Linked DNA regions of Drosophila melanogaster. The protein of the gene in region 1 interacts with the protein of each later gene in a pairwise test. Each region holds a gene or a part of one and is shown in the gene's direction. Other genes may lie near its edges. The genes, in order: ms(2)35Ci and hoka.

Region 1 (11,903 bases):
CCAAGTCTAAATATTTTCGTTGTTAATACTTATCACCAAAATCTTTGTTGATTCTCAGCTTAACTTTCAGAACTCCTGTAGATCTTTGGATTTTTCTGTAAAAGCCAGGCAAACTAGTTACTCGACAAAATCAGAGTGCCTGTTGGTTTTCAGGAAACTTGTCTAGACTGCTCCCGTTTCTGCTCATTAAGACCAATCCCCTGACTGGATGCGTTTTTAGCATGTCCTACGCAGTCCGGCACTAACTTTTTATTGTCTGTGCGGGCAGGCGGACAAAAAGTGGACGAGGAGCGAAAAAAATAAATGAACTGTCCCATTGTCTTCTGGGATTAGGGCTACCGGTGCTCGGCTATGGCTTCTCAGCTCAGTCCTGGAGCTTCTGCGCCGATGGTGGGTGATAAATGTTGAGAAGCTAGCGGCGGCACTGGCGCAGACTCCATTGAAATTAGTTATTCACGCGGATCGTTTAAGGCAATCCAACACCAGAAGGCAGAAACTTGGTAGCTGCCTGCTGTTCTATGGTTGCATTTATTTTGGATACCCCTTAATAATGGAGATGAATGGGTGGCAGAGTATTAAAGAAATAATAATTTAATATATGAATAAGATACATGAAAGTATTGTTCTTTTAAAAATGCGTATATCATTTTCTTAATGTAATGTGGAGTTTCCCTTTGGGGAAAAATAATAGTGCCAAAATTGGATTGCTAAATACCCTTGCATACTTTTTGGATATAAATTATTTCTTAGGGGATGGTATCAAATGAAATCAGTTTCGATTTAAGCACCTTTAATTCTACTTCCTTTTTATCATCCTGGTTATAACATTTGAATATATAGTACGCTCCAGATTTAAGAACACTAGGTATCCGAGAGTCGAAAACGCGATGAGATGTGCCACGTTTTTTTTGTTGGCCATTGCTCTTGGTCATGGCTTGTCAGTGATGGCTCCTCGGCTACCGCTTTTGTTTTAATGATCGTGCCCGGGATGCTCATTTACCGCTGCTGTTGGCCAACTGCAGGCAGCAAACGGGATGACTCCTTGGCTTTGTGTCTCTTATCAGTGCAACATTTTGCATGTTGGCCAGGAAAGCGCAGTGGCCACGGCCACGTCCTCCTGCTGGAGCTTAAGCATTTGTCACAGTCCTTCCCCGCCGTTGAAATAAGGCCCTGGCCATACACACACTTAACATGTGTCTTTTTATGTATGCTTTTAGCCAGTTTTATCGCCGGCTTTCGGCTACTGCGGCGCTGCAACGTAGCTGCAGATCCCCACCTCGAATGGCTCATTTCCTCGAGCGGCCAACAACAACGGTAATTAACCTGTGCATGTTAATGAACTTCAAACTGCAAACTCCTACTCCACTGCACTGTCAAAAAAAAATAGTAAGTTAATGTTAAGATATTTGAGCAACATTTAAAATTACACAGAAAGGTAGACAATTCTGTGTTAAAAATTAGGAAATCATAGATATGGTGTAATGAATGAAAAAGTGATTGTATTATTATTAAGAATAATATTATTATTTATAAAATATGATTTATTGGTACTCCGGTGTATTCCCGACTTGACTTTGAGATCAATTTGTAAAAGGCATTTCCCTTTAACAGATCTAGATCTTCATCACACGTTAGGAACATTTTTTAAAATTACTTTCGTTCACTTTATTGGATTACTTAAAGCTTCAAAAACTAAAAATTTTAAACTATTATTTTTAAGCAAATATACCTGGCATTTATGATCGTCGACATATTTTGCCCAGTGCATCCCGACCAACTGTCCCCAGTTTATGTAGATTTTTGTCTTCTCTCCTCACGTTGGCGCTAATGCAAATGTGAAAAGGCATTTTGTGAGCCAAAATGAGGTTGTTGTCGTGCCACTGACAATCTAATTAGAATACAAAATGCTTTTAGAGGCAACTGCAACTTTGGCTTGAGCTCTTGCTCCTTAGCTTCATGCCCAGTGGGTCTTCAGTGGGTTTCAAGTTCATGGTGTTGACATATGTAGCTGGTGGTTGGATAACCCCGACAAAATATATATCCCCTTCGTCTCAAACCCTATGGTTGAATAACATTTTGACAGCACCTTCAGCGAGATTTGATTTCACCGACTAGGACATTATTGTGATGAGATGGCGGCTGCTCGGGAAAGTCAGTGTCACTTGATGGCCGCGATTGGGATGCAGCCATCGAGGAACTGCGGTTCAAAATTGTCAACTTGTATTCATAATGAGTGGAAAGTTTGGCAGGCAGTTGAGTAATATTGCAGATAGATTATCTACGGTCTAAATGGAAAATTAAGTCGGATTAGCGATTCAAGTGAAGTGCACATAAGTTTACCAGTGTCGTCTGTCTTTAACCTTTGGTCTTAGTTTGTTTTACTTTAGTTTAAACAAACTTAGCTTAGCACTATTATATTGAGTTTGTTAAATTAAGCCAATTAGATTTTGAATTTTTCCAGTATTGCTAAGAATATCTTTTATCAGAAGAATAGCTTCCTCGAAAGCAATTTTCCCTCAACCTTAAATGAATCATGCGTCACGTAGCTTACCCCATCTGCTCCACCTTGTACAACAAGTTTCAACTTTGAACTTTAACAATTGATTCGATGTGCCCACTCATGGCTGCCCAAGTGGTTTTTTGTACCAGGAACTGACATCACATTGTATGTGTATACATACTTGAAGTATGGATGGAGGTGGAGCAGGAGGAGATCACAGCACGTGCAGGGAGTCAACAAGGCAGACAGACACACATATTGGGCTAATTAAGCAGATTTCAAATGAAAGCCAACAAAGAAGAGATTCGATCGTGGGCCAAGCGACACCACCTGGAGCTGAATCTTTAGAGATGGAGATGGGGTTGGAGAGGGACCGTGGAGCACCCACAGAGATCGGAGCACCCATGGCACGCGATAATCAATCAAAAACCATTAAAGCCAAGCGTTTCAGTCGAGACAAAGACAATCAGTGCGGAGTAGAAAGCATTTCGCTGGAAAGAAAAGGCGTAGAAAATAAGGGGCAGACGCGGCGGGTGGGTGTGGCCAAATCAAATATGCGTCAAGACAAGTTAAAGATCAAAATCAAGATCAAATAGAGCACAAGATCAACTACGTCGGGGGAGGTGGGGGAGGAACAGCAGTTGCAGCAAGATGATTGACAGAATTAGAATAGGAAATCGTGAGCGTTGCGGGGGAGTCCCCTCTTTACGATTACGAGTATTATTAAATGACCCAATTGCGGCTAAACGGCTTTTTGTTTGGGCCAAGAAAAGTGAATGGAGAAGAATGTCGCCTGTCTGGGCTTCGGTTGCAGTACCTCCTGCCTTCCCCCCCTGGCCAAATGTCGCTCAGAGTTGGCAAATGCAAATTAAAGCCCACCACAACACATCGACTTCCCAGTGTGCAACTTTCTAAATGAAATTCCAATCGCACTAGGTCCAACTTCTCCTGCCCCTTCTATTTTCCTTCATGCTTTTCCGCTCATGTGTGCGCAAAATTAAAGAAATAATTTCGAGTAAAAATATAACAGCTGATTGTCACCTGGCAGGCGAGAAAAACTGTAGAGCCTTCGTGGGTCTGGCTAAATCAAAGACTTGACATCGCGAGCTCCTTTCTAAAAACGTTTCTGCTAATTTACATCGACAAATGCAGCTGGCGTACTAAATTTGGGACTACATAGGTAAAATATTATAAACTTTTGTAATTAACTTCAAAAAAAAAAATGCTCTATCAGTTCACAACAATAAGATTTTCTTGCTTATCACCTCTTATTTCTGATTAGCTAAGTCACCCAAAAAGTATCCATAAGATTCTTTTTTTTTTAACGCATTTTGTTTGTGATCGCCCTTTACCAATATTTTTCGCCCTGTGTATAATTTATCCACCAATTGTCTCCCCAGTGGGCTCAATTAGAGACGCATTCGCAAATTGCATTGCACTTTTATTGTCACCACTCGCGAGAAGTGTCTTGGATTTGAGTTTGAGCTTGAGTGCGGTGGCATTTTGTCGCGACGCCTGCGACGGTGTCTGGATCCCATCATCAGTCACTCCTGGACAGTCCGGGTCCAAGTAATTGCCCCCGACATGCTCCGGCGGCAGTCCGAGCCCCAACCACTTGTAGGCATTTTGTTTGACTTGGATTATCGCTAAGTGCATGGGTTTAACATTCCGCGGATGTCCAACTAAACGACGGATTAAGCGGCACCACTTGTCGGTTTGTTGTTCAGGTCGATCCCGACCTTGCATTGCAGGAAATTATTGAAAATTAAAGTTTTTCTAAATTAAGCTGAATATGTGTAAGCAATTTACAAGGTTTACCAATGTAACATGTAGTTTTTAAACACTATTCATTAATATTATATTCTTGGTCAGCCATGGATGTCTTTTTAGCTGGAAAACTAAACTATGGTAACACATTGTAACCTTTCTACTCCACTTTTAAAATGATGTACTGATCATTTTGGTCTCCTTTCGCGGCTTATTCAAAATAATTCAGCCACAGCAACAGTTTAAGGCCAATCTGTTCAGCACATTCACACTACGCTCATGATCCCCGTAAACGGAGTACCCGCATCCCATGCCAAGTGCCCATTAAACCGCATATATAAATCACCATTAATTTGACAGTGGATTTTTACATAACTCAGGCCAACAGGTGAAAGCGAAAAGCGCACAGCTGCCGGCGGACAGTGGAGAGATCATGGTGTGTCATGGAAAACTCGCCACTTGCACTCGTGGAAATTGACTGGTCTCCCCGAAGACCCTGCTCCTGCTCCTGCTCCACCGCCTCATCCACCACCTGGAGGAAGAAGGAGGAGGAGGCTGGCATGCAAAATCGAATTGTGTGCTAATATTTGGCCAAAATGCAAAGAGCCCGCGGTTATCGCTGCACCACGAACATGACGAAGTGACTCCAGATGGGGAAGTTTTCAATGCTGCCGCTGCAGTAATAAAAATCATTACTTTCCAGCCCAAATTGGCAAATGTTGGCAGCGGGAGAATGCGAATGCAGGATTTTCGCCTGATCGACATGCAATGTCAGGGAAATTGCTGTCAAATGGGTAAAAGTTGCAGCAACACTATGGAAAAAATCAGCGATTTTGGTGAAAATGATGATGGCAAATTATGAAAGGGAAAAATACTAAAGATACGCATTTAACAATAACTTATTCTAATATTTATTTTCTTGAGCGAACTTAGTGAAATGGGATCTTAAACCTTCGAGGGAGATGCCATAGAAGAAAGCTAACATTGGTATGAAAAAACTGTGCCGTAGCAAAACATGGCTTTTGTTTTAGCCCTAACCGCAGATAGATGTCCCAGCTAAAAGCTTTTCCCGAAAAATTCCGAACGCCGATACCCCCATAACCACCAACACATGACAGGCACAATTTCTCAATTTTATTTAGGAGGCAAGCAAAGAAATCTTTTACTTTCACTGACGACGCACATTCTTGAAGCGCCGCTCGGCCTCCGTGGAGCTGCTCTGGAAATTCTGCATCCAATCCTCATCCGAATATTGATGCCGCCAATGGCACAATTGGGAGTTCAATTCCTTTCGCTGGTTGAGAAACAGTGAGGTGCGTGACTTGGGCACGACTATCATATTGGTCAGATGCATCTGCATGTCGCGGTACAACTGCCCCTTGCGATTGCGTTTGTCCAGCGACTGCTCCCCTCGCAGATGCAGATCGTTGGAGGAATTGATGAGTCTCAGGTCCGAGCTCGACTTAAGGATCAACGATAGATCGGATTGAGAGCGCTTTAAGCCATATGACCCGCTCGTGCAGGGCTCCTCATTCTGATTGATTGGTTTAGGTATCAACTTGCGCAGTTCTTGCACTTCCGCCGCCAAGAAATCCAGGCGTGCCTCAAGTCTGGTCAGTACCTCACTGGGTGTCAGTTCTGAAACGGGAGTGGTCGCCACAATGGGTCCATCGGCAAATCCATCAGTGCGTTGCCTCGCATCCGATGGCAAGAATTGGGGGGAACTGGTTGCCGCATATAGTCCTCTGTTATCACCCACTTGTTCTGCCTCTATATAATGCCCAGGTGGTGTGTGATACTCATTCCGGTGGGTCATTATGTCACTTAATAAGTCTGCTGAAAGTGGCACAATTCGCTTCATTCCGGAGGATTTTACTTTACTTTTAATTTGGAAACAAACTAGTTGAATTATATCTGAATACACATGATATGGCAAAAAAACCTTTGATTTTTGATTGAAAGGGAAATGGACACTGTGCAGTGTTATATATATTAGTTCAGAGAATTGTATGCATAGTTTTTTGGTAATTGTAAATTTGCAGAAGTATATAAAACACGACTAGGTTTATTGTAATACCAAGATTCCCTCCGAAGGTCAAAATTTTTTTAAGTTTTGTAGCTTGTTACTTTAAATTGATTGTTCTACTGCCTATTAGTTGGAATAAGCACCTTTTATAATGTTGTCAAATATTTTCTCAGATAAACAAAATTTGAATGCACACAAGACACTAAGGAAAGTCCGGCAATCCGCATAATTTCAAAGGAGTTCCTTCGAAAAATTGTCAAATGTTGTAGGGTCCTCGGATACCTGGCAACAGAAATGGAGCTCGGAAGAGACTTCATCAAAAGGACGTTAGAATTGTCACGTATGTGAAATAAATAGAAATTATATCCACTCGCTAAGAAATTCCTTCTGAACTCAGAATGCCAATAATCAAGAAGTTCTGCTATTGTTTTAGTCTAAGAATTGGCGCATTTTCAATTGCGTACGCAGGTCTTACAATGGATGTATTAGATACAGTAGCGACTATATATACTAAGTCGCAATATTGCGCTGATATACTACTCCTCTGGATAATTTCCACCATTTGGAATATCATTTCCGCATTGGTTCTTTTGACTGCACTTTTTCGGGTAAGATCAATCTGCCATGATACATTTAGCATCACTAGGTATCTGAGCATCCTTTGTTTCAGGAAAATCCGCATTTGCTGCCAGTTCATCTGGTGACTTCTCTTTGTGGCCTGATGCTCGAAATGACCAATCACATGGTGATTGCCTCCCTTGGCAGAACCGATTACGTTTTGATATCCTATGCGTTCATTATGATTGCCTGTAAGTGATGGCCCCCTCTTGATCACATCTACTTCAAAAAAAAAAAAAAAATCGCCCACAGTTGTATCTGCGGACGTCGTGATCGTGCTGAGCTACTACCAATCGGAGGTTTAGTGAACCACTCCGATTACCCATTAACCCAGGCAACCGACCGGGCGCAGCATGTAGCATTTTGTGGTGCGCGATTAGGCGCGAAAATTTATTTGGAAAATGTTGCGCAATCCGCGCCGTGCATAAATCGTGGCCAATTGTCACCAGCGGATTGGCAACCGAACCTCAGCGACCTGCGTTTAATTATCGCCCCGCCAGCGCCCGCCGAGCTACATGCGTGCTAATTGACCAGGCTGCAGCTCAACGCTGCTCCAATCCGAAATCCGAATACGAATCCGACTCCGACTCCGAATCCCCAGTCCAAGTCCACGTCCCAGTCCCAGTCCCAGTCCCAGTCCAAATGTCCAAATGATAACCGCGACGATGAAAACGCATGCTGAGCCAAATGAAAATTATGTTGCAATGGGGCAGGCGTGCTGCTCGCTGGCTGGTCAGTGAACCGCAGTTTGCACCACCATCCATCCATGGGGCTTAATTAATTTCCTTGATTAATTGAAAGTGCGCCTTGCTCGCAGTATTTTCGTTTTCTGTCTTGCTTTTTTTTTTTTTGTTTATTTCTGGGCCATGGTATGTTTATGTGTATTTTTGGCAGTGCAAAGTTGAAGGCAATAAGAAAAATCGCCCCGGATTCGATTCGGTAGTATGTGATGGGCGTTGCCCTGGCCAACCCTTGGCCATTACTCTTGGCCCGAACCGTACCTTTCCATTTTTCCTCAGCTGGTATTCGATTATGGCCGGAATTATGATCCTTGTTGGTTGGATTCGGTGCAATTACTTCGGGATGCCCTGTAAAATGTAAGCAACTTTTTAAGTTGTTGTTTAAAGCGCTTAAAAAATAAGTCAGTAGAATTACTCTTCGAAATAAAATCTTAAAAAACAATGTCTCTATACAATACCATTCGGGTCATTTTCAACATAAACAATGATCATACATCACCAGCGAATCGGAACCATAATCTTTGACCTTGTCAACCCACTGAGAGCAGCAAGTACATCAAGATAAATTAAGCCTCAATTGTGGATTCAACATCAGGCCAACTAACATCCATCATTCCAGTTTTATGGCCGCACAATAGAACCCGGAATACCCAGCGAGTCAATTTTGCAGCGGCAACTAAGTTGCAATTCAACTTGCAACGTTCACCGAAAATTCACTGATTTCATAAAATATTACGATAAATGTCGCTTTCAACATTTATAAGCCAAAAGGATTTTAATACTTTATTGCTTATAACCGCAAAGCGACAGTAAATGCTCCTACTTTAAGAAACAAAATGCAATCGCATTGAGGCGAATCGAAAATAAGGAAAACAAGAAAAATGAATTGTCTTCATTTTGTAATTTAATGGTATTTTATTGAATTTCTGATGCGAATGGGCAGGGACAAGGCGGATTGCCCCCATCCTTGGGGTATCTGTATCTGTATCGGAATCGGGATCCCATCCCATCCCATCCGATCCGATCTTCCCCAGCCTGTTGACATTTAAAATATGGCCGCGTGTCAATGCGACTGCCCTACGCCCATTTTTAAGTCAGGTTTACATTTCGATTTCGGTTTCGATTTTTAATTCGCAACTCGCCCGAAATCCCAGCGTAAATTCAATTTGAAGGTCCGAAGGAAGGCCTGCAGAAAAATGTGCTTTCACTTGACCCGCAATGCTGCGTAAATAAATTTTATCGCATCGCTGACACGTGCGCGTAATATTTCATTAAATTTAAAAACTACACCAAGGGAAATATGCAAAAGTAACGAAAAAAAAAAAATAAAGAAAATAAATATAATTGCGTTCGGTTCAAAACGGCAGCATAAACAAATCGGCGATTGCATCGTAACTTCGTTTTCAATTTGGCAAGTTTGACACTTGGCCAGTTAGTGAGTGTCCCGCGATCTCCGCCAGGCATTCCAAGTCCACCTCACCAGTCCGAAGTGTGTGCCACCTACGTTGGGCCAAACTAAGAGTCCAGCTTTTCCACCTGGAGTCAACCTGTCGTTGCTACTGCCGCCTGCCACTCACTTGCCGGCAGTGCGTGCTGCAGTTGCTCCTGTGGCTGCTCTGATTGCGAATGCCAATTGTTGGCGAAGCAATGCCAATGTTTATGATGGCTCATAATTTGTTTGCCCGCGGCTAGGTCGTAAATGGAGCTCAGGATTTATGCACAGGCCAGTCTAATTACTAAAGTAAATGGTGAATGGTATTTAAATTTAAATATTTTCAGGGTTATTAATTTTTATACTTTCGGTTGAATTCTTCATAAATGTCCGGTGGTTTGTAATGTTTTTTCTGGGCCTTGAAGACAGGAAAGTTTTATCCTTTACAGGAATTCTTTATTAAAATATCTATACAAATTAATATAAGGGCACTGCAACTTTGAAAGTTTAGTCCATACACACATTTACAGCACTAAATACAAAAAAAAAAAAACTTGACAAAATGAACGCCCACAGAGACGGACTAAGTCGCAAGAGTGATGTACGCCTATTATGAATAATTTTTAAAGACTGGCAAGAACGCCATAAACATATGGCCATTATGCTGTACGCTTTGGCTAATGGCCCGCCTGCCACTAAGCCCACTGAGGTGAGAGGAATATGTACATACATACACATGTTTCGGCTCTTCCCGTGCCGGAGCAGCACTTCCAATGAGCTCGTAAAACTCGCCGGGCTGTGGGACGATTGCTTCCAGAGCTTCTTTCGGTGCTTACTGATGTCTTAGATGCAACTACAAGTGCTGCTGCTCCCGCTGGTCATTAGCCGAGATGGCGGCACGCACCCGATGCGGCTTGGAGTTGGGTCATTTGTGCCGACGAATGGGGCGTCTCTTAAGCCGATGCTAATTTCCATAATGCACGCCTTGATGGCGGCCAACAGGTCCTGATCCCCACTGCGTTTTCCACACTCTGCGAATAAAAAGTGGGGGTTATGGGTCTGGGTTTTATACGCTTTACATATGTAAGCTTACAAGTTCATTTGTAATTCAAGTTCAAGCACCCAAAAAATACTCTCTATATATGCAGTAAGTATTTTTGAATAATGTTTTAGTTTTCAGTGTGCTATCACCTCGAAATGAGTAAATGTCTGGGTAATCTAGGAAACTTAGCTTGCGGAATGGTCACGTGATACGTCAGGTGCGGGAGAAACCTATTCTGAAATACAAAAATGAGTATTTTGCAATCAAATGAAAGCCAAAATCCAATTTAGGATCGCCTCCAGTTGACACCTCCGTGGCCTAGAGACTCCACTTGCCTCGACTGTGGCCCTGGCCATGGCGATTTAATGGCTTCGCAATTGGCCTGACCCATCTGTGGACCAGGCCAAGTGCCAGGTGATCGTGGCCAGTATGACTGCGAATCGTGGAGCGGAGCAGGCGGCTTTTGTCGCTGTCCCCGGCAACATGAGTATGATTTATTGTACTTTATGTGGCCGGAGCAGCTTCTGCCCGCAGTTCGTGATGGCTTCGCTGGCTTCGTTAGTCGCGTTCCTGGGATCTGGATGCATTGCTATATACTCTGTACATGGGTATTTGGAAAGTGTTCTGTGCCAGGAGTACTGTATTTTTGGTTGTGCTTAGCATATTAAGTGGTAACTTATACATGATGACCTAAGGAATATGCAGCATGAAGCAGCAAATCACACGATCTATTTATATAAAATAAGGACTATAAGCTCACATGATATTGCAAGGGTATTACAAAGTACGGTTCTAAAACTTAAACGTATTTTGCTTTTTTGATCTGAAAATTCTGCACTTGGCCGTGCGGCGATTATGTGTATCATTTTTCTTTGCCAGCGGCTGGGATTCTACGTTATTGTATTTTATATTATTTGTGCTTAATTTGGGGAGCACAGGTAAGGAGCAGTGGGAGCCGTGCACCTGATCCCAAGAGTGTTGTGACTCTTGAGGCCGCTGGACAAGTTCGTTGATTCGCGGCAGGCAAATGACCATGTGCTCCTCAACATTTTGTGGGCAGGAGCACTTGGACTATTAGCCAAGATATTTTCCCTCCCCTTTCCTTTTTTTTTTCGTTTTTTTCCTTTTGTCAATTCCCAGGGACTTTTGCTTGGCCAAGGAACGAGATTTATGTTAGTATGGTGTCAGTTTAAGTTAATGGGTTATACTCCCCGCCAGTTTTTTATTTAATATTTTATAGGCGAACGTTTTTTGTGCGTCTCATTCTTATTTTTATGCACAATTTTATTCTTTTTCCTTTGGCTGCTGCGCAGGTGAATTTTTTTTGAATTTATGACCATACCTTTTAAATTGCTTTGTGGCAATTTCCGTGGCACCCACACAATGCGAGAAGTTAATTTATTAGTAAACTCAATGTTTCAGGTTTGTTATGATTTTTGTTTTTTAGCTGAAAAACGACTTAAGTATATATGTATAATCTATATAATCTATCTATATAATCTATATTTTTCCCTGCTTAACGAGTTGCTATTAAAAATCTGACACATTAACTTTTAGTAATTTTCGCGTATGAATATGTATCACAAACACATTCGACTACAAGCTTTATATCGAATATTTTATCGGAAATCAGTGTTAATCAGGACTCTCTCAAATGTCATTTTGGCAAGCTATAGTATTGCAAACCAAAGCGATCTCTGCCACACGTGTTTTTTCCTCGCAACGCTTATAAATTACGAGATAAGCTCTGAGTCTTATAGAAATCCAGAGTAAGATAT
Region 2 (12,170 bases), on another chromosome or scaffold:
TGATGCTGATTGCCAGATATAAATTAAATATGCACAGTAGTAGTATACAGCCTGGCTGGATATATTTTTTATGTGCGCCATTTACAAATGAATAAACGAAAGCCTAAAGCCCCACGAAGCGCTGTGTGAATATATTTGAAATTAAGACCGTTTTTTTCCCCGATTTGAGATGGCCAGGAAATAAAGTTAATGAAAGAAAGATATCGGTGTTTCGTGCGCAGTTTAAATTCGAATTACGAAGAATTTACACACAACACAAGGCTCAACAGGATGTAATACACGAATCATTTAACGTTAACCAATTGAACACGTTTCAGCATTATAAAAAGCACATTCCATTCTATTCTTATAACCCATCTACATATCAAACGCTTTTCGACAGACAGCCCCGCACTCGACACTCCCGCCAAGCCAATGCCATTGGCATCGTCAAGTGGTGCTCCATCATACATTCCCATCGCCAGAATGAATTCCTATTCCTCCGAACTATCGAACACGCTGTGAGTGGGAGATTGCCAAGCCATTTCAGCTTATCCGCAAGATTTATGGCTTGCCTGCCGCTCAATTGGAGCATCTACGCTATTTCGGCTTAAAAATATAAATTAAAAATTGGAAAAGTGGCGATCTCTTAAATCATTCATCTATTTATAGCCGCCTAATGGAGCGTGGCGAGCAAAAACCAAAAATAGCAACACTCGATGGACCATCAAGCGCGTATCAATCGAGATGGCGTATAAATACTTTCGGCCGATCTTGGCCTTAAGCGCTCATCGAGATCCGAGAGGCAAGAGCATCCAAAAATACATTGAAAAGCGGCGACTTCCGCTTGCAATTACCAATGGTAATGGATTGTCACAAATGTATCCGATCTATTCAAGCATATGGCAGACATAAATCGATGCAAATAATCGAGACAATCGAAGAGCCCTCGACCATTGTTCCATCTGCCTACGAATCTACAAATCTAAAATATCTACAAATCTGCGGACTTCGCCGGCTCGTCTTTGTTTACTTTCGTTTTGTCTTCTGGCAGCTGGCCGCGCTAATCATCTTATATGGCCAGCCAGAGTTCAATTGGTGCTTGAGACACTTTTTGACAATAGCAACTAGACAATCCAAATCTGAGTTCGGCCCCAGTAGAAGAAGCCATCGATCGATGCGGTAGTTCGCCGCTTGTTAACCGGTTTGCTCAGCGATCATCATAGCTCATCTCAGTTCATCTGATCTCGCAAAGTGAATGGACATCGGTCAGCCGAGAACTTTTCGCGCAGTTTGTGTATAAATAGTGTCGTTGGGTCTGGTTTGAAAACAGAATCAACTTTGGATTAATCTAGCAGACATCGTCTTGGATCTTCTGGAAAAATGGTTAGTTCTCCAGCAGTCATCCTGCGACCAGGACTAACCCATAACCCTCTCCTTCGCTTATTGCCTTGCAGAAATTCTTTGTCATTGCCTTTGCTGTGATCGCAGCTGCCTCGGCGGCCTCCATTGCCACGGATTACCTGCCGCCAGTGGACAACAACCTGGAATCTGCCTCCGAACTCGTGGAGGTGCCCGCCGAGCAGGGAGTTCTCTCCGACGATGGATACCGCTACAAGACCGTGCGCCGCCTGAAGTTGCGCCACCGTCGTGATGTGAACGAGCTCCCCTCCGGTGAATACCTGCCCCCTGTTGAGGAATCCGCCTCCGAAGCCGTTGCCGTCGAGACTCCTCTGGCTGATGATGGCTACCGTTACAAGACCGTCCGCCGTGTGATCCGTCGTCGTCGTGATGTCTCCGAACTCTCCCCTGAGTACCTGCCCCCTGTTGAGGAGTCCGCCTCCGAGGCTGTTGCTGTCGAGACTCCCCTGGCTGATGATGGCTACCGCTACAAGACTGTCCGCCGTGTGATCCGTCGTCGTCGTGATGTCTCCGAACTCTCCCCTGAGTACCTGCCCCCTGTTGAGGAGTCCGCCTCCGAGGCTGTTGCCGTCGAGACTCCCCTGGCTGATGATGGCTACCGCTACAAGACTGTCCGCCGTGTGATCCGTCGTCGTCGTGATGTTTCCGAGCTGTCCCCTGAATACCTGCCCCCTGTTGAGGAGTCCGCCTCTGAGGCTGTTGCTGTGGACACCCCTCTTGCTGATGATGGTTACCGTTACAAGACCGTCCGCCGTGTGATCCGTCGTCGTCGTGATGTCAATGAGCTTCCTTCCGGCGAGTACCTGCCCCCCGTTGAGGAGTCTGCCTCCGAGGCTGTTGCTGTTGAGACCCCTCTGGCTGCTGATGGATACCGCTACAAGACTGTCCGTCGTGTGATCCGTCGCCGTCGTGATGTAAACGAGCTGTCCGCCGAATACCTGCCCCCTGTTGAGGAATCCGCCTCCGAAGCCGTTGCCGTCGAGACTCCTCTGGCTGATGATGGATACCGCTACAAGACCGTGCGTCGTGTGATCCGTCGTCGTCGTGATGTCTCCGAGCTGTCCCCTGAATACCTGCCCCCTGTTGAGGAGTCCGCCTCCGAGGCTGTTGCTGTGGAGACTCCCCTGGCTGATGATGGATACCGCTACAAGACCGTGCGTCGTGTGATCCGTCGCCGCCGTGATGTCTCTGAGCTGCCTTCCGGCGAGTACCTGCCCCCCGTGGAGGAGACCGCCTCTGCCATCATTGATGTGCCCGCCGAGCAGACCGTCCTGGCCAGCGATGGCTACCGCTACAAGACCGTCCGTCGTCTGAAGCTCCGTCGCCACTAAGCCGCCGATTGCGCCAACTCCCACCGCAGCATTTGAGATTTTCGAGGATGTTTTTCCAGAAGAAGTCCTGACTTTGACAGTCTCAGATTGAAACTAACAATAAGTCGAGCGTATTAGTCAATTTGAATCCACTATGAACAACCCGAGTACAAACCCGAACTTACAATAATAAACATTTTTAAAACAAATATCCTACAACTACTATATCTTTTTGCAGAATATTTTTAAATATTCGAACTATCTTTTAAACAATATGCCTAGGATTGGGATAAAGCTTATAAAGTCGAAGGAGTTGGTGAAAAGATTTTATAAAAATATTTTTTAAAATGGGCAATAAATAAAGAAGACTCTTATTGTCCTTCGATAGTACAGATATAAAATATTGTGTAAGGACTTGAACTCAACGAATTTTGCATATTGAACATGTTAGGCTTAGAAATATAGGAGACATTTTAGATTGAACATAAATGAAACTATTTTTTTCAGTGCTGATGACCTCAGAAGTAATATATAGCGGGAGAAAAGAGAGCCTTCTAATCTTATCAATGAAAGATAAGGTGCTTTGAGATAAGATACTAGCACCTGCCGACGAATGCAATCACGCACAGGTTTTTAGTTCCACTTTGGAGTCGACGACGTGCGCGTTACAAACTTGGCTAACAGCTAAAAGCGAACATAAGTTTTTCGAAAGAACCGACGAAAACGACGGAAATGAAGTTGGCTAAGAAGTGCTCCACCTACTTGGTGATATGCCTGGGTAAAGTTCTGCATGCTCGTTCGAATCTGCCGAGTTTTGAGTGCCAACTAGAGATACGCAGCACACCGGCGAGATACTTTTTGGTGCATGTGTGTGGGCGGAGTATTGTGCATGTGTGAGACTTTAACGCATTATGATGCACTGATGCATCCGTATGATTCCATAGGTGTGGGGTTTTAATAACCCAACTTCAGCAATTGGAGACTCTAACGATGAGTAACTGGGCCAAGTGTGCGTCACACAATCAGGCACAAGAAAACTCTACAAAAATGTGTGCTTATCAGTGCGATTCAGATAAGCACTGTGTTTACTCATTGTTGCCCCATCACTTGGTGTGCTTAACTTTAGGGCGTGGTGAATCAGTGAGTTCAGAGGGAAATCTTTTTGGATTGAAAGGTATCCCAAATAAAACATATAATTTAGCTGGCAGTGAGTAAATGCGAAATCATTTCCTTTGATTTCATGCAATTTTTATTAGGCCAAAAGTCCAATGCCCTAAAACCGGAAGTGGCATAATTATTGCGCATATAAATTATGAAATATGTTAGACAAAAAAGTGAATGAAAACAATTAATATTGGTTAGCGGTTGGCCAACGAAAATCGGTCGCACTCTTAGCCACATACATTTGGCGGATGGGTTTTGTCAAATGCCTGTCTCCATGAATCACCGACTAATCGAATCGAGGAAAAATCTATACACTTTCCATATCGACAAACAAATCCATTTAATATTTCATACGCAAAATATGCCGAATGAGCTGAACGAACACACACATAAAATATTATTAATTAAAAATACATTTTGATAATTTTACGTGAAATCGAATCTGACATCCGCAATGGAACAATGGGGAAGGAATATGCCAGCTCACATTTATCATCGAAGAAGTTGGCGCGCGCGCGCTATTTTGGCTCAATCAGAATCAGCGTTTTTTGTTGATTTTGGCCCGGCTCTGTTGTTAAACATTTTCTCAACGATTAATTGTTAATATCTTAACAAGTCTTCGCGCATTTGAAGATCTATATGATGAATGGTCTTGCTGTTATTTCAATGAGTTCCGTTTGGCTTGGGTTTGATGGATGCTTCAAAGCCAATGCCGCAATCTTACCAGGCCACCTTCGACCACACGCCGCGTGATCATTGAAAAAATGTGTATGATGTGTGTTTTGCGCCTCGGACGAATCACTATGTCTAACAAATATTAAATTTGTATATTCTTTTCTATTCTGTAGTACTGTTGGCCTGCTGCCTGCAAGAATCGGAGGCCACGCGACGTGTGAACCGCGGACGACGCACCCTTACCCGCAGATACTTCAGTAAGTGATGCCGTATACGTGATCGATATTGCTCAACATTGTTATTTCTTGCAGCTGGCCTTGCTATTCCCGGATGGGCTCTCATCGTTTGTGTAGCGGTAGGTGAGCTGCTGATTGGTGGAGCCCTCTACTTCATCCTCAAGAAGGTGATCCTGGACAAGGAACCAGATCAGACGGCGGCCTCCTACACGCCCGCCCAGACTCATGCGACGGCCACACCTTATACTCCCGCCCAGACTCACGATCCGGCCACGGCCACAACCTATACTCCTGCCCAGACTCATGAGACGGCCAATGTGACTCCCACTCCAACGCATGCCACCGCTATTGTCTGAGGAGATGTGTACAGATCCAAGTGACCACTTTTGGTTCATAACCCTTTCCAAATCAGTTCAAATTCCACCATTAACTAGCTTTATTGTCATTTAATCGACACACAAATAGAACCTGTGCCCTTTGTCTACCTTCATTTTCGAATAAAATTATTTGCCACTTATCTGGCGCCAAACTAGCTTCACATTTGTACGGTTAAACGGTTTTTAAGACGATACACGCTGGCTTTTAACATTTTATTGCACCGGCTAAGCGGCCCAATATCCGCCCAAGACCGATCCAGTTTGTCTACTCATTGTCTGCACCACACGCAACGCTAATTTATATCTAATTAAATCAAACTGGTTTTGAGTTTTGGATTTTTCATAGCCCATGCTGGGGATGAAGATTAATTAGATGAATAGATTTGTAAGCAAATTAATGCCTACTTTTGGGGCTGCGGAAATACTAGCTATTTTCAAGCTACACCCAATATAAAATATCAAAGGGTGTACGGATTATGAGCGGAGTCACCCGGTGCTTCAGCTGTCTTAACAGCGGATTAACATTTTATATATCGATGCTAATTGAACTGAACTGTATTCTTTCTTTCTCCATTGTAATTTTGCGGTCATAGCGATCAGACGTGATTTTTGTATATGAAGAAATAAATGAAGTTAAATAGTGTATATATGATTCTTATTTGCGAACCCCATTACAATGATGTCAAAGCAGTGAGGCATCACAACTATTCATTGGTGGCCCATGAGGGGAACCTTGCTCATAAGAATCATAATTAATAATTGCTAAAAGCTGTTTGGCAATTTTATCTTCGTGGTCGGCTTCATCCAGATAAATCACCGTGCCTACGTTTTCTATCGCGCTCGCTCTCATCACGACAGAGCAGTATACGCAAACGTTCGCGCTCGCTCTCATCACGACAGAGCTAAGTCCCGTTGCCCTTCGATTCCGTTAGATTTGCCGGAATCTCTGCCAACTCAAAAAACAAGACGTCAAAGAAGAACACCGATAACATACGAGCATTTGTGCATATTACATACAGTGGAGCAACGTCAGTATAAACAATGTCGAAATTTGATCAACTGGTGCGAGTTCAAACTGACCGCATTGAGTCTTTGAAGCGCTTGTTCAGTAATGTGAAAAAAGACTCGAGTGCGCGGAAAACGGAAATATATTTCGAAAAACGTTTGAATCAAATCGACGAGTTTAACAAAGAATTTCATCAGGCGCATCACACACTTATATGCATGGCAGACTACGAAGAAAGTGTGTATAAGCAACAAAATACAATCAGCCAATTCGAAGACCTGGGCATGGAAGTTTACTGTTTCGTGGCCGAAGAAAAGAAACGAATTTATCCAGGCACAGTGACGCACAACGAATCAGCTAACTCTACAATAACAACACATGTAGAGGAAGTACGGATACCACTGCCAAAATTACCAGTTCCGAAATTCTCTGGCAACTGCGCGGACTGGCCAAGTTTTCATGATGCATTTTTACGCTTAATTCACAATAATGAGCGTCTGGATAAGATTCAAAGGTTCCATTTTTTAAAGGAAGCATTACCAGTAGGCCTGGACAACGACATTCGCCAAATCGCTTTAACTGAAGCAAACTATGAAGTCGCTTGGACCACACTTCTACAACGATATAACAACCCACGAATTGTGTTCGCCAGCCACATGAACATGCTCTACAACTTACCGAATCTTTCGAAAGAAAAATCTGCTGACATACGGTCTATGGTTAGTACAGTCAACGTCTGCATTGCCGCTTGCAATACCGTCAAGGCGCCACTACAGGGAGGAGATTTTTGGTTGACTCATTATCTAACAACCAAACTACCCAAAGACACTCACACAGCTTGGGAGCATCATCTGGGCAGCAAGATTGACGTTCCTTCATACAAAGATCTGCAACAGTTCCTCAATGATCGACTTGTTACGTTAGACGCTATTGAAAGCCGTAACGCGTGCAGCGGCATGAAACAGTCAAATGAAACTTCAGACGGTACTAAACGCGTGCGTGTGCACAGCGCCCACACCAGGTCGGGTGCTTCCGCGTCCGCTTGCTATCATTGTGGCAACTTACACATACTTCGAAGATGTCCGCAATTTCTTTCAATGGATTGCTACCAACGGAAGGAAGTGGCCAGCAAGGCAAAATTGTGTCTCAATTGCCTGGGAAAATCGCACACACAAGCAAGCTGCCCCAGCAACAAGAATTGTCTTCATTGTGGTCAACGTCATCACACGATGTTACATTTTCCAGCAACACAGCCAACGCTGATACCCTCCTCGACATCATGCCAAAGTTCAGCAGCCAGTTCAGATGCCAAGCCGACTCTACAGTGCATGTCAACTACAACTTCATCTATGACTCATCGAAAGGTACTACTAGCAACAGCTCGGGTTGTACTCAGTAACACACAGACAGGATGCCAGGCCACGGTAAACGCGCTTCTTGACCAAGGATCGGAAGCAACTATCATTTCGGAGCATGCTGTACAGTCTCTCCAGCTCTCCCGAAGCACAACTCGCACTTCAATCACCGGAGTCGGTCAAGATTCAGGACGACGCTGCAAATTCATCGTAAGTTGTTCGGTGCAAACAGCAACTAACCCAAATTTCTCGTTAAAGGTCGACGATGCTTATGTTTTGAACACGTTGACATCACACATGCCAAGTCAAAGTTTTCCAGCAGGAAACTGGAGTCATATCCATGGTCTCACGCTCGCAGACCCCTATTATTATAGATCCAAGCGAATCGATATCATTTTTGGAGCCGACCTTATGGCACAACTCTTGTTGCCTGGAACTAAGATTGGCTTGCCAAACGAACCCATAGCGCAGAATACTCAACTCGGATGGGTTCTGTTAGGCAATGTTGGCAACACGCATATTACACGCCACATTCGATGTAATCATGCCATAATAAACTCCGAAGAGCTGCTTAAGGTATTTTGCGAGGTAGAATCAGTTCCAGAACGCCCAAAGCTCTCCAAAGAAGATCAATGGTGCGAGTCTTTCTTTAAGCAGACCCATCAACGTCAACCAGACGGCAGTTATCAAGTCCGTTTGCCATTCAAGAGGAACTTTGACCCCAGTATGACGCTCGGAAAATCTCATCAGATCGCCCTGAACAGATATCTTCAACTCGAAAGGCGCCTTCAAAGGGACCCAGACAAATGGATCAGATACTGCAAAGGAATTGAAGAATATTTTCAACTAGGTCAAATCACGTTGGCAGAGACGAGCGAAAACTCAACCATAACCACGGATTCCTACGGTCGGCATGTTGCATCATGCGTGCTACCACATCATGCAGTTTTCAAAGAAGAAAGCCTCACCACAAAACAACGTATCGTTTTTGACGCATCGGCCCGGACCTCAAATGGCAGATCGTTAAACGATGTACTATGTGTAGGTCCCACGCTGCAAAATGATCTGCCAGCCGTTCTCTTGAATTGGAGACAATATCAGTTTGTTTTCACTGCCGATATACAACGAATGTATCGCTGTATCAATGTCCACCCTGATGACACGCAGTACCAGAGGATTTTATGGCGGGCGGCGGATGGAGTCATCAAACAGCATTGCTTAACTACCGTCACGTTTGGAACAGCGTCTGCACCTTATACAGCTATAAGAGTCATCCATCAAATAGCTGAAGACACACAGACAAAATATCCTATGGCATCCAACGTTCTCAAAAATGAGATATATGTCGACGACATTCTCTCAGGCGATCATTCACAAGAGGCAGCAATACGGAAAAGTTTGCAAACTATGCTAGCTTTAAAATCCTCTGGCATGGAGCTACGAAAATGGGCTAGTAATGACCAGGATCTGATGGCAACGATACCTCTCGAGCATCGATGCAAGCAGACATCCCTCAGTTGGGACAATGCGGACACCATCAAAACACTGGGTATGTACTGGTTGCCCAAGCAAGATTGCTTCACTTATAAATTACTAGCAAATACTCCAGCCGGTATAACAAAACGAGAAATCCTATCGACCATAGCACGTTTATTTGATCCTCTTGGATTAATCGCTCCAGTTGTAATTTCAGCAAAGATTATATTGAAAGAAATCACACTAGCGAAGCAATATCGCGAGGACGGATCGAGTACATCACTGGATTGGGATGAGCCAGTTCCCAACACCATTGCCGTCAAATGGCAACAATTTCGACAGCAACTAATGAAGGTTAAGACGATCAAAATACCACGCAGCGTCAAATTTACGCCACTATTTAGTAGTGAGATACAACTGCACACCTTTTGCGATGGATCCTCCAGTGCTTACGCAGCAGCAGTGTATGCACGCACCCAACAGTCTGATGGGACTTTCTATACAACGCTCATCGTCGCAAAATCAAAAATTTCGCCAACCAAGCCGTTAACAATACCGCGCACTGAGCTATGCGGTGCAGTATTAGCTACCAAACTCACCAAATGGGTGCTGGAGAATAACCGATGGACCAATGCACATATATCTACCTTTTACTGGACCGATGCTACCATTGTTCTGCACTGGATTAAAGGAGACATTACTAGGTGGAAAACGTTTGTAGCCAACCGAGTGTCTTACATTCTCGACCACACCTCAGCGGCTCAGTGGCACCACATAGACACATCGGAAAACCCAGCAGATTGCGCAACCAGAGGCTTACCACCGAGCCAAATACCTGATATTTGGTGGCATGGCCCATCCTGGCTATGCAAACCACACAATATTTGGCCAAACACGCAATCACAATTGCTCAATCCAGAAGAACGGGATCTGGAGGCCAAATCCATAAAAATTAGAGCCTTCACTACCTTGTCAGACACAAAGGATTCTATTATTGACCGATTCTCGTCGTATACAAAACTGCTACGTGTCACGGCATACATGTTACGATTCTGCCACAATGCTCATGCTCGAGCACAACGAAGTCACGGATCACTCTCTCCTGACGAGCTGGATGAGGCCCTATGCTGCATAGCTCGCCTTGCACAATCCGATACATTTCACGCCGACATCCAAGCGCTTAAAAGGAACAAGCCGTTACCACCCCGTAGCACACTTTCAAATCTTACACCGTTTCTTGACAACAATATCTTGAGGATTCGTGGCCGTCTCAAGCATTCAAATCTCTCTTTTTCTCGAAAACATCCAATTATATTACCTCATTGTCACCTATTTACAGATTTGGTAATTCAACACTCTCATCAGCTCACTCTACATGGCGGCGCTCAATTAACACTGGCTCACATACGCTACAAATTCTGGATTCCCAGAGGCAGACAAGCAGTCAGGCGAATCATCCGGAAATGCGTCACATGTTTTAAGGTAGCTCCAGTCGTAGCGAAGCAACTGATGGGTGACTTGCCATTACATCGAGTCAACCCCCCAACTCGTCCGTTCATTACAACAGGAGTTGACTACACTGGTGCGATTGAACTTCAAGCCGCGCGTGTACGAGGATCAACCACCTACAAAGGCTATGTAGCCATTTTTATATGCTTAGCAACCAAGGCGGTCCACTTGGAAGCCGTCACTGGACTTTCAACAGAGCACTTCCTGCAAGCATTTACGCGATTCACCGGACGTCGAGGACAAGTTCAACATATGTATAGTGATAACGGCACAAATTTTGTTGGCGCGAGTACATCGCTTAACCAGCCCATCACTTGCAAGGCAGCCCTAAACGAATCGACATGTCAACATGGGACAAGGTGGCATTTCACACCTCCATATTCTCCCAATTTTGGTGGCATCTGGGAGGCAAACGTGAAAGCAATGAAGCATCATCTTAAACGGATCGTCGGCAGCCACAAGCAGACGTATGAGGAGCTTACTACAGTTTTGATCAGGATTGAAGCATGTTTGAACTCACGTCCACTTTGCCCGCTAACCGCCGACCCTGACGATTTAGAAGTACTAACTCCAGCACATTTCTTAATTGGTGACGCACTACTGGCACCGCCACAAGGTCGGCCGAATAATAAGCCTTTGCGTGAACTATTTCTCGCACAACAACACATGACGCGACAATTCTGGTCTCAATGGTCTCGTGATTGGTTATCACACTTGCAAACTCGGCCAAAGTGGTGCCAAATCAAAGATAATCTTAGCATCAACGACTTAGTCATTATAAAGGATGATAATCTACCACCAGCTAAATGGACTATAGGCCGAGTCGTCGAACTGCACCCTGGATCGGACTCGCTAGTCAGAGTAGTTACATTAAAGACGAAATCTGGCATTCAAAAGAGGTCAATCACAAAGCTTTGTCCACTTCCGATTTCAACATAATTATGATCAACACACGGATCAAGAATCACAAGGAGCCTTCATGCTGGACGACGCATTGGCGGGCGGCATGTACGGATTATGAGCGGAGTCACCCGGTGCTTCAGCTGTCTTAACAGCGGATTAACATTTTATATATCGATGCTAATTGAACTGAACTGTATTCTTTCTTTCTCCATTGTAATTTTGCGGTCATAGCGATCAGACGTGATTTTTGTATATGAAGAAATAAATGAAGTTAAATAGTGTATATATGATTCTTATTTGCGAACCCCATTACAATGATGTCAAAGCAGTGAGGCATCACAACTATTCAAAGGGTTTAGATTATTAGAGTGACAAGATTGCATTTGATTATCGCGCTCTCAAAGAAAGCATTCTGCTCCAGTTTCGGGAATTGAGCTGTGCTCGCTTTGAGTTCGTATTTTGTAGCTTGTATCTGCTTCTATATCGCCGACTGATTTTGGCGGCACTTGGGATGCGGCGGCCACTTGATGCCGCTTCCTCGTTTCGCCGCTGACAAATCGAAATTTATTATAAACGCAATTGAAAAATCCCCAGTGCGCCACTTGAGCTGCACATCTAAGCTGCCTCACAAAGCAGATCCCGGGGTATCTCGGGCGAAGTCAAGGGCCCACCAGCCAAGTAGCTGTAAATGCCAACAATTGGCGCAACCGAGAGCTTTTCCGAGGCAACGCGCCGGCGGCGAGGGGTTGGTAGCCAAA

Evidence for each region.
Region 2: the proteins of ms(2)35Ci (region 1) and hoka interact in a two-hybrid assay, tested with the Drosophila melanogaster proteins (one large-scale study listed by BioGRID).

Annotation. Positions count from the first base shown.
Region 1 is NT_033779.5:15,286,046-15,297,948, forward strand, and holds ms(2)35Ci (male sterile (2) 35Ci), read left to right. Parts: upstream 1-6,422; 5' UTR 6,423-6,633; intron 6,634-6,690; 5' UTR 6,691-6,691; coding exon 6,692-6,901; intron 6,902-6,963; coding exon 6,964-7,102; intron 7,103-7,163; coding exon 7,164-7,216; 3' UTR 7,217-8,091; downstream 8,092-11,903. Other genes in the region: CG15260 (uncharacterized protein), read right to left, coding at 5,436-6,128; CG15262 (uncharacterized protein), read left to right, coding at 11,902-11,903.
Region 2 is NT_037436.4:4,895,554-4,907,723, forward strand, and holds hoka (hoka), read left to right. Parts: upstream 1-3,346; 5' UTR 3,347-3,443; coding exon 3,444-3,489; intron 3,490-4,723; coding exon 4,724-4,807; intron 4,808-4,861; coding exon 4,862-5,142; 3' UTR 5,143-5,316; downstream 5,317-12,170. Other genes in the region: CG13705 (uncharacterized protein), read left to right, coding at 1,363-1,365, 1,437-2,732.